Mus musculus: one gene and its partner. The protein of the gene in region 1 interacts with the protein of each later gene in a pairwise test. Links are inferred from orthologs where the notes say so. Each region holds a gene or a part of one and is shown on either strand. Other genes may lie near its edges. The genes, in order: Lonrf1 and Crx.

Region 1 (3,819 bases):
GCTTATGGCTTAGACAGGGTTAATGTGGCCTCTCGATGGTTTTGGGACCTAATTTACCAACTGGAATTAAAGTACCAGAAAGTGGCTGCTGTTTTAAGTATCAAATTGATAGCAATTTCTACAGGAAAGACAGGATAAAATATAGGTCTTACATTAGCACTGTTCACCAGTCTATTCCAGCCCTTTATTTCAGTCAACATTTCCTGATTGCTGGGCATCTTCACAAAGAGTTCATAAGACTTTTCACAAAACTAAGAGAGTTAGCAGATAGAGTGATTGGGAGTCTGTGATGTATTACAGAAACGATGGAAGGCTGACTGCCTCTACGTCCTGTGAACTCTCCCTACACCACGCTGCCTCTCTGCTGATAAGTGATTAGCTTGATGTTGCTTGTTCTCTCTTATAAAGAAAGATGCCATGTGGTGGGAGGCAGAGGAGGCAGGTCTCTTGAGTTTGAGGCCAACCTGATCTACATAGCTCCAGGATGGTTGGGACTACATAGAAAAACCTTGAGGCAAACAAGCAAACAAAAAGATGTCATACGGGAATACTTTGCTGTATCAATCAGGGCAGAATATTTTATGAGTGAGTTGAAAATTTTAGTTGATTGATAGTCTTTGTCTTATGTGTGGTTGGCTAATGAAATTGTTTGCTAAAGATGGTGTGCTTTGTAAAACCCAAAAACCAGTTTTAATTTTGGTAAATGTGTATAATGTTAGATCACATTTGACGGCAAAGTGCTTTGGGCGGGCAGCTGAGCACACATGGCTAAGGCGCACACCCAGTAGAGTAGCACATTGAAAGTGTGTGTAGAAACCGACATGGTGCTGGGAGACTGGAGTCACGCCTTAGATCCTTCCTGTTCCCATTTCGTATGTTTCAGCATTTTGCTTTTGCTGTTGTCTGTGCTGGTCTGGTCTGGAAGACCTCAATTTTATTATTTACCTTTTCTTCTTGTGGTAGTAATTCTGGGATGTCTAAGGAAATGTTAAGGTCAATCTTTAAAAAGCCTGCTTTTGAAATGCTGCTTGTTTCCTGGCTGGTTTTGTTTATCTCGCAGAGGTGTAGCTCTTCGCCATTTTAACTATTTTTAAGCACCACTTATGGATATATCTATCACATTATGCAAATTACAACTAACTTAATGCATAGTTTTAATGGTCATTTTATTTTTTTCAGAAGTAAGAATGTGTGGCCTTTTGTGTTTTGTGTCTTTTATATTTCAAAAATCTTCCCATAGCCAGTAGGCCAGGAACATGGTCCACCCTTTAGGATGGATGGGTCCCTTGGCCATCCACCTGCGTTCTGCTGGTCTTCTTCGGCTGGACGATGTCTTTCATTTTACATTTGCCATCCGGTGGTCTAGAGGGCACAGGGAGGAGTTTGTGGAGGGAGCCACGGTGTTGGACCCTTATGGCAGAAGTTGAAATTGTATATTTTATGCTCTACCTTTTGACATGCCAATTTTTTTAGCAAGTATTTTTGTTGCATTTGTGTTTTGTATTTTGACCCAGTTCTCCCATTAATCATGTATTCATGGCCATCCTCCTGTTGCTGCTCTCTGCCGTGTGTAACCCGAGTGCCCCATTTCTCTTTTTACTGTAGCAACTATTTTATTCCAAATTTGTGTAGACCTTTGAACCAGAGCCCACTGTCCACCATACTTGCTCCTTCCCAGGCTGTCAGTCAGGTTGCTGCTTGCTCCCAGTGGAGACCAGGCACTGCTCTTCCCAGAGAGTCCTGTCAGCACTCTGTAAGGCAGAAACATAACCTGCTATTGCCTGAGAATAACACTCTGATAGCCTAGCACCGACAAGGACCTTTCCCAGTGTCCCGTGGGGCTGAGCCTAAGCGCTCGGACACCTCTGAGATCTTACTGCCTGCTCTTCCTAGATTGAGAATGGAGATGAAATAAGGAGCCTGCGAGAGCTCCATGACTCGGTGTACTCGCAAGCCTGCAGCTGGTTTCAGAATTTAAGGGACAGATTTCGAAGCCAAATCCTTCAGCACTTTGGATCAATGCCTGAGAGAGAAGAAAACCTCCAGGTAGGATGGCTCTGCTGCCGCTGCCACTGCCTGTCTCCCTTTCTCAGGAACCTGATGAACAGCTTTCCACCTCCCCCTTCTTTTATTGCCGTCGACCCCATCTTGAGCATTATGGCTGTATTCTCTAGAGCACTGGTATCTGCTACATGTAGCCCAGGCAAGGATGCCTGCAGGAAAGAGGGTGCCACAGAGGGAGGGGGTCTTGTCTCAGGATGTCTCGAGGGTTGTAAGATGTAAAATGGATGCTAGCCTGCATTAAACTGTGACTCTGAAGCCACCGTACCTCCCAGCCCATCACCCGTGCCTTTGACAGTTGAGAGATGTGTGGTTTTTTCCATCCTTTAGGAAGTCTGCTCCTCTCTTTTTATCTCCTAACTACTGTTCACCGTTTCAATCCACTTTTGTCTAGCTGCATGTAACACTTCCATTATCATAAAACCATCATTCTTGGGGTCCTGCTCAAGTACTGGGGTTTACATCAAAACTGAACCTAATCATTAATGTGATTTAGATTCTTTCTGTGCACCAAGCTCCGCAGTAGCAATTGCAAAACCCATTAGGGGGTCCCTTACCCTGGGGACTCCAACCACAGGCTCCTGAGACAACCAATATTAAGCAGTACATTTTGAATTGAATAAAGTCTTTATGGTTGACTTCATAGTGGGATGGCTGTACATCTATGAAGGTGGAGGGATAATAGATCCAAGTGTGATCCATCTCTCACTCCATCCTTCAGAGGTTGGTTTGAGTCTCTTATGTCAGCATCAGGACCATTTCCAAACTGAGGACACGCAGATGCTACGTCTGTGTTGCCCATTGTGGCATGTTCATCCTGCACACCTGAACCTGGTTAAACATTATAGAAGTATGCTCTCATAAGACGAAGCAGGATAACACATTTAAAGCCTCCAGAATGTAGCTTCCGTCAAAGTCTGGGCAGAACTCCCCCATGGTCCTCTCTTCTCTCCTCTCTCAGTAGCTGCCACTGGTTTCTGTTAATGCCACATTAGGAGTCAGGGAAACAAAGCAGCCTCTGGAGAGATCCAGGAGTGAGAGGGTTTGTAAAGAGGGACGGGTATGGGCGTTGGAGGCTGGAGGAACAAAGGTCAGCGCCAACGGCACCAGAGGCCACAGGATCCCTCCGCAGTGCATCAGGAGCAGCAGAGCACCATGGCTCGCTGGAACTTGTGGAGAAAGTGCTGCAGTTCTTGGGGCCCCAGGGAACACCCGTCTGTCTGTCCATCAGTCAGAGGCAGTGGAATGGGTAGTTCTCTAGAATCCTCTGGAAAGCCACACCCCACGCTTTGCAAAAGTTTCTAGAAAATAATGACCTCATTATCCGTTTCTGCATCTGGTAAGAATGCCATTGGCCCGATTGTGTCTAACCTGGAGACACGTGGAGGGTGGGATCCTGGGAAGTTTTCTCTGGAATGCAGAAGGAAGTGGGAGTGGTGCAGAGATCAGAGCGGTGGAGAGTGGGGCAGTGGCACAGGTTGCTTAGATACTGCCGTGGTTCCTTCATCACTCTGAATGTTGCTATTTTGTGGCTCGTGAGCACCAGTGCAGTGACAGTAAGAAAGGCTATGGAGTCCTGTTGTGCACACTTACCGTGACTCTGTGGCTGTGTGCAGCCCTTGCAACGCACAGGAGCTTCCTTGACTTGTCCTCGCCCTTGCAATGTTAATTTTTCAAACTAAACGGGAAGCCATTTTTTTGAATTAAAAAAATTCTAAGTTTTGAATAAAAATGTCAAGTATCAAGAGTTAACTTTCT
Region 2 (3,819 bases), on another chromosome or scaffold:
TTTGAGGACAGTCTCGGCTAGTAAGTTCCTGTCTCATTAATGGTACATCCAGGAGATAGTTTATTCAGTAGCCTGCTTGGTTTTTCCAAGTATGAGGATCTGAGTTTGTTTCCTAGAAGCCAGGTTAAAAAAGTGGGCACATTGTGCTTATAATTCCAACACTGGTGAAACAGAAACAGCTGGATCCCTGTGACTTGCTGGCTAGCTATCCTAGCTTACACAGTGATTTCCAGACTAGTGCGAGACCTGAGGAGGTAGACTGCTTGCCTAGCATTTGTGAAGACCTGGGTTTGATATCCAGCACTCCATAAACCAAGTATGGTGGTACTGACTTGTGATCTTAGCACTTGCGAGCTGGAGACAAGAGGTTATTCTCAGCTATTTGGCAAGTCTGAGGCCAACCTGAGCTATATAAGACCTCTCAAAAATAAAATGAAAAAAAAAATGAGGTGAGTAGCTTGATCAATAAATTTGGGGTTGAATTTTAGCCTCCCCTCCACTTGCACACACACACACACACACACACACACACACACACACACACCATACATGCACACATACAATTCCCTTCATATACACAAACACACACACACCCTCATACAAAAACATCCCTCTACACTCCCCTACAGACACACACTGCACTCACAAACACGTACATACAAGCACACACACACATACACACACAGCCTGGGAATGATGGTTAATACAAGTGATCTCAGCACTTGTGAGGTAGAGGCAGGAGGGTCAGAAATATGAAATCAACTTTGGCTACAGCCTTACCTTGGCGAATTTAATGTCAGCCAGGGTTACATGAAATACTGCTGCACAAAGTCAAAAAAGTTTTTATTTATTTATTTATTTACTTATTTTTTATTTGGATGTTGTGGCTTGGTCTACAATTGAGTTCCATGCCAGCAGCCAGGGCTATAGAGGAATTTTAATCTAGCAATATGGCTACTCTGGCAAGGGATCGTACCCAAAGAGATAGGTCTGTGTGATCTGGCTGGAACACAGACACACCCTTAGTACACTCTTTTAATCCCTTTGGCTGGAATATAGACAAGCCCTTAGCACGTACCTTTAATTCCAAATAATGATGTGTGAATTAAGTGGCTGATAAAGTGATGAATCAGAGAAAGATTTGACAGAATGAGTCAGATATAGGATATGTACAACTCTCTTAAGAACTGACAAGAAGCCGGGTGTGGTGGCGCATGCCTTTAATCCCGGCACTCGGGAGGCAGAGGCAGGCAGATTTCTGAGTTTGAGGCCAGCCTGGTCTACAAATTGAGTTCCAGGACAGCCAGGGCTACACAGAGAAACCCTGTAAAAGAACTGACAAGAGGGGGCTGGAGAGATGGCTCAGTGGTTAAGAACACTGACTGCTCTTTCAAAGGTCCTGAGTTCAAATCCCAGCAACCATATGGTGGCTCACAACTTTCTGTAGTGAGATCTGACTTCTTCTTTTGGAGTGTCTGAAGACAGCTACAGTGTACTTACATATAATAAATAAATAAATTAAAAAAAACAAGACAAGAAAGAGGCTACTTAAGAGCGGTGTGTTTGAGGCAATTCAGCTGAATGCAGCAGAGTTCAGTTGAGTTTGTGCAGTTTTGTCAGTGAAGTCAGTGCAGCTCAGTTCGTGGAGTTCAGAGGCAGTTTTTCCAAGAAGAACAATTCGGTCAGAAGCAAGAGAGAAGCCAGTCTGAACCAATCAGCTTGTAGAAGCATTTGAGCCAGACAGTTGAGTTGAACCATCCAGCCAGAGTTCAGGGAGTTCAGAGAGAGCTAGAAAGGATGAACTTATTCAGTACTATATCTCAGAGGCTGAAATAGGCCTAAGTTGAGCAGGTGGAGTCTGGAAGTCAAAGCCTTCCAAGTCTGGGCTTGCAGAAGATTGGATTGTATGGAGGCTTGGAGCTTCCAGGCCTAGGCCTAGGGATAATTAGATAGAAACACTCTGGGCTCAGCCCAGGTTGTGTATTCACACACCCTGGGTACAGCTGTCATCTCATCACTTCATTCGAGGAAATTAAAGTGACAATTACACAGGGCTATATACTGAGGCCCTGAAACTTATTATGTAGACCAGGATGGCCTCAAAGTCACAGAGTTCTGTCTCCTCAGTTAGAAAATGAATGTACCACAACACTTGGCCTCTAAAAATGTGTGTGTGTGTGTGTGTGTGTGTGTGTGTGTGTGTGTATGAGAGAGAGAGAGAGAGAGAGAGAGAGAGAGAGAGAGAGAGAGAGAGAGAGAGAGAGAGATTTTGATGGGCAAGATTGGTTGGATCCCAAAGAAAACCTGAAGCAGGATGTGAGTCTGTGAGTCTCAGTTTGTAAATGCCCAGGCACTGGGCAGAGTAGTCTGTTGGACACCCTGTTCTCTTGTAGGTGCCCTCATCTGGGCCACAGTCTCTGAAGATCATGATGGCATATATGAACCCGGGGCCTCACTATTCAGTCAATGCCTTGGCTCTGAGTGGCCCCAATGTGGACCTGATGCACCAGGCTGTCCCATACTCAAGTAAGTATGTTCTCCTTTCCACCTCCAGTCTGTTTTTTAAGACCTTCTGAGGTTCATTGCCTTCAGGAGAAAAAGCATTCATGGGGTGGAGGGGGGCAGTAGGACCTTGTACCTGCTCTATGTCCATATGCAAAGGAGTTTGGCATTCCAGGGACTTTTACATGTTCCCCAGGAATTCAGAGGAGTATATAGTCATGACATTGACTACCTCTGGAGGGAGGGGAGGGGAAGGGAACTGGTTTGGAAGCAGAATCAATAGGATTTCCATCTGTCTGTAAAGTTTTTTTCTTTTCTTTTTCTCTTTTGGAGTAGAGGTTTTTGGGCTGGAATCCAGGGCCTTGTGGCTTCTAGGTAGGCACATTAGCATGGAACTATGCCCCATCATAACTGCAGGATTCTAGGCAGGGGCTCTACCACTGAGCCATGCCCCCAGCCCCTCACTCTATAACTGAACATGTCCCAGACTCTTGACTCTAGACTCTAGAGTGCTGAGATTGAAGTCCTTCACCATCATGTTCTACTATGATACACTATTACTTGACATATCTCTCATCTCTTGTCTTTCTCTCCCTCCTTTTCTTTCTCTCTCTCTCTCTCTCTCTCTTTCTCTCTCTTTCTTTCATTTTCTTTTCCCTCCCTTCCTTCCTTCCTTCCTTCCTTCCTTCCTTCCTTCCTTCCTTCTTTCCTTCCAACAGGCTCTCACTATGTAGCCCTGGCCTGGAACTCACCATATAGATCAGGTTTCTTTACAAATTCTCAGAGTTCTGCTGGTCTCTGCCTCCTGAGTGCTGGAATTAAAGGCAGGAGCCACCTGATCTAGCCTTTCTTTTTCCTTGAAGGACAAATAAAACACTATTTATTTTTGCATGAAGGGTAGGGAGCAGGGGGCATGCTTGCCATGGCTCCCTTGCAGAGGAGTTGTTTTTTCCCTTCTACCACTGGGTCCCAGGTATTGAACTCAGGTCCTCAGGCTTATACACAAGTGCCTATACATGCTGCACTATCTTGTTAGTCCCCCCCCCCTTCTCTTACATTAAGTTGAACCACAGAGGCTTACCACTTTTATAAGCAGAAGTCATGGTTATTGACAACGTCATGTTTCAACAAAATATATCTTTGAGCATAAAGTTTCAAGAGAGGCATCTGGTACAGTGACCCTTGCCTGTAGTTCCAGAGATTTGGGAGGCTGAGGTAGGAGGATCTCTTGAGACCATGATTTCAGGGCTAGCCTGGGCTATGTAGTGAAACCCTGTTGTAATGAAAGAGAGGGGGAGGGATAAAAGGAAGGGGAAG

The links.
Region 2: the proteins of Lonrf1 (region 1) and Crx interact in binary tests that used the Homo sapiens proteins (3 or more experiments, as listed by UniProt). The two-hybrid records come from large-scale screens. The link is inferred for Mus musculus from reciprocal best matches to the Homo sapiens genes LONRF1 and CRX.

The regions. Positions count from the first base shown.
Region 1 is NC_000074.6:36,218,053-36,221,871, reverse strand, and holds part of Lonrf1 (LON peptidase N-terminal domain and RING finger protein 1), read left to right. Parts: intron 1-1,893; coding exon 1,894-2,046; intron 2,047-3,819.
Region 2 is NC_000073.6:15,869,851-15,873,669, reverse strand, and holds part of Crx (cone-rod homeobox protein), read left to right. Parts: intron 1-1,284; exon of another isoform or gene 1,285-1,357; coding exon of another isoform or gene 1,358-1,396; intron 1,397-2,393; coding exon of another isoform or gene 2,394-2,426; coding exon 2,427-2,526; intron 2,527-3,819. UniProt on the Homo sapiens protein: Transcription factor that binds and transactivates the sequence 5'-TAATC[CA]-3' which is found upstream of several photoreceptor-specific genes, including the opsin genes.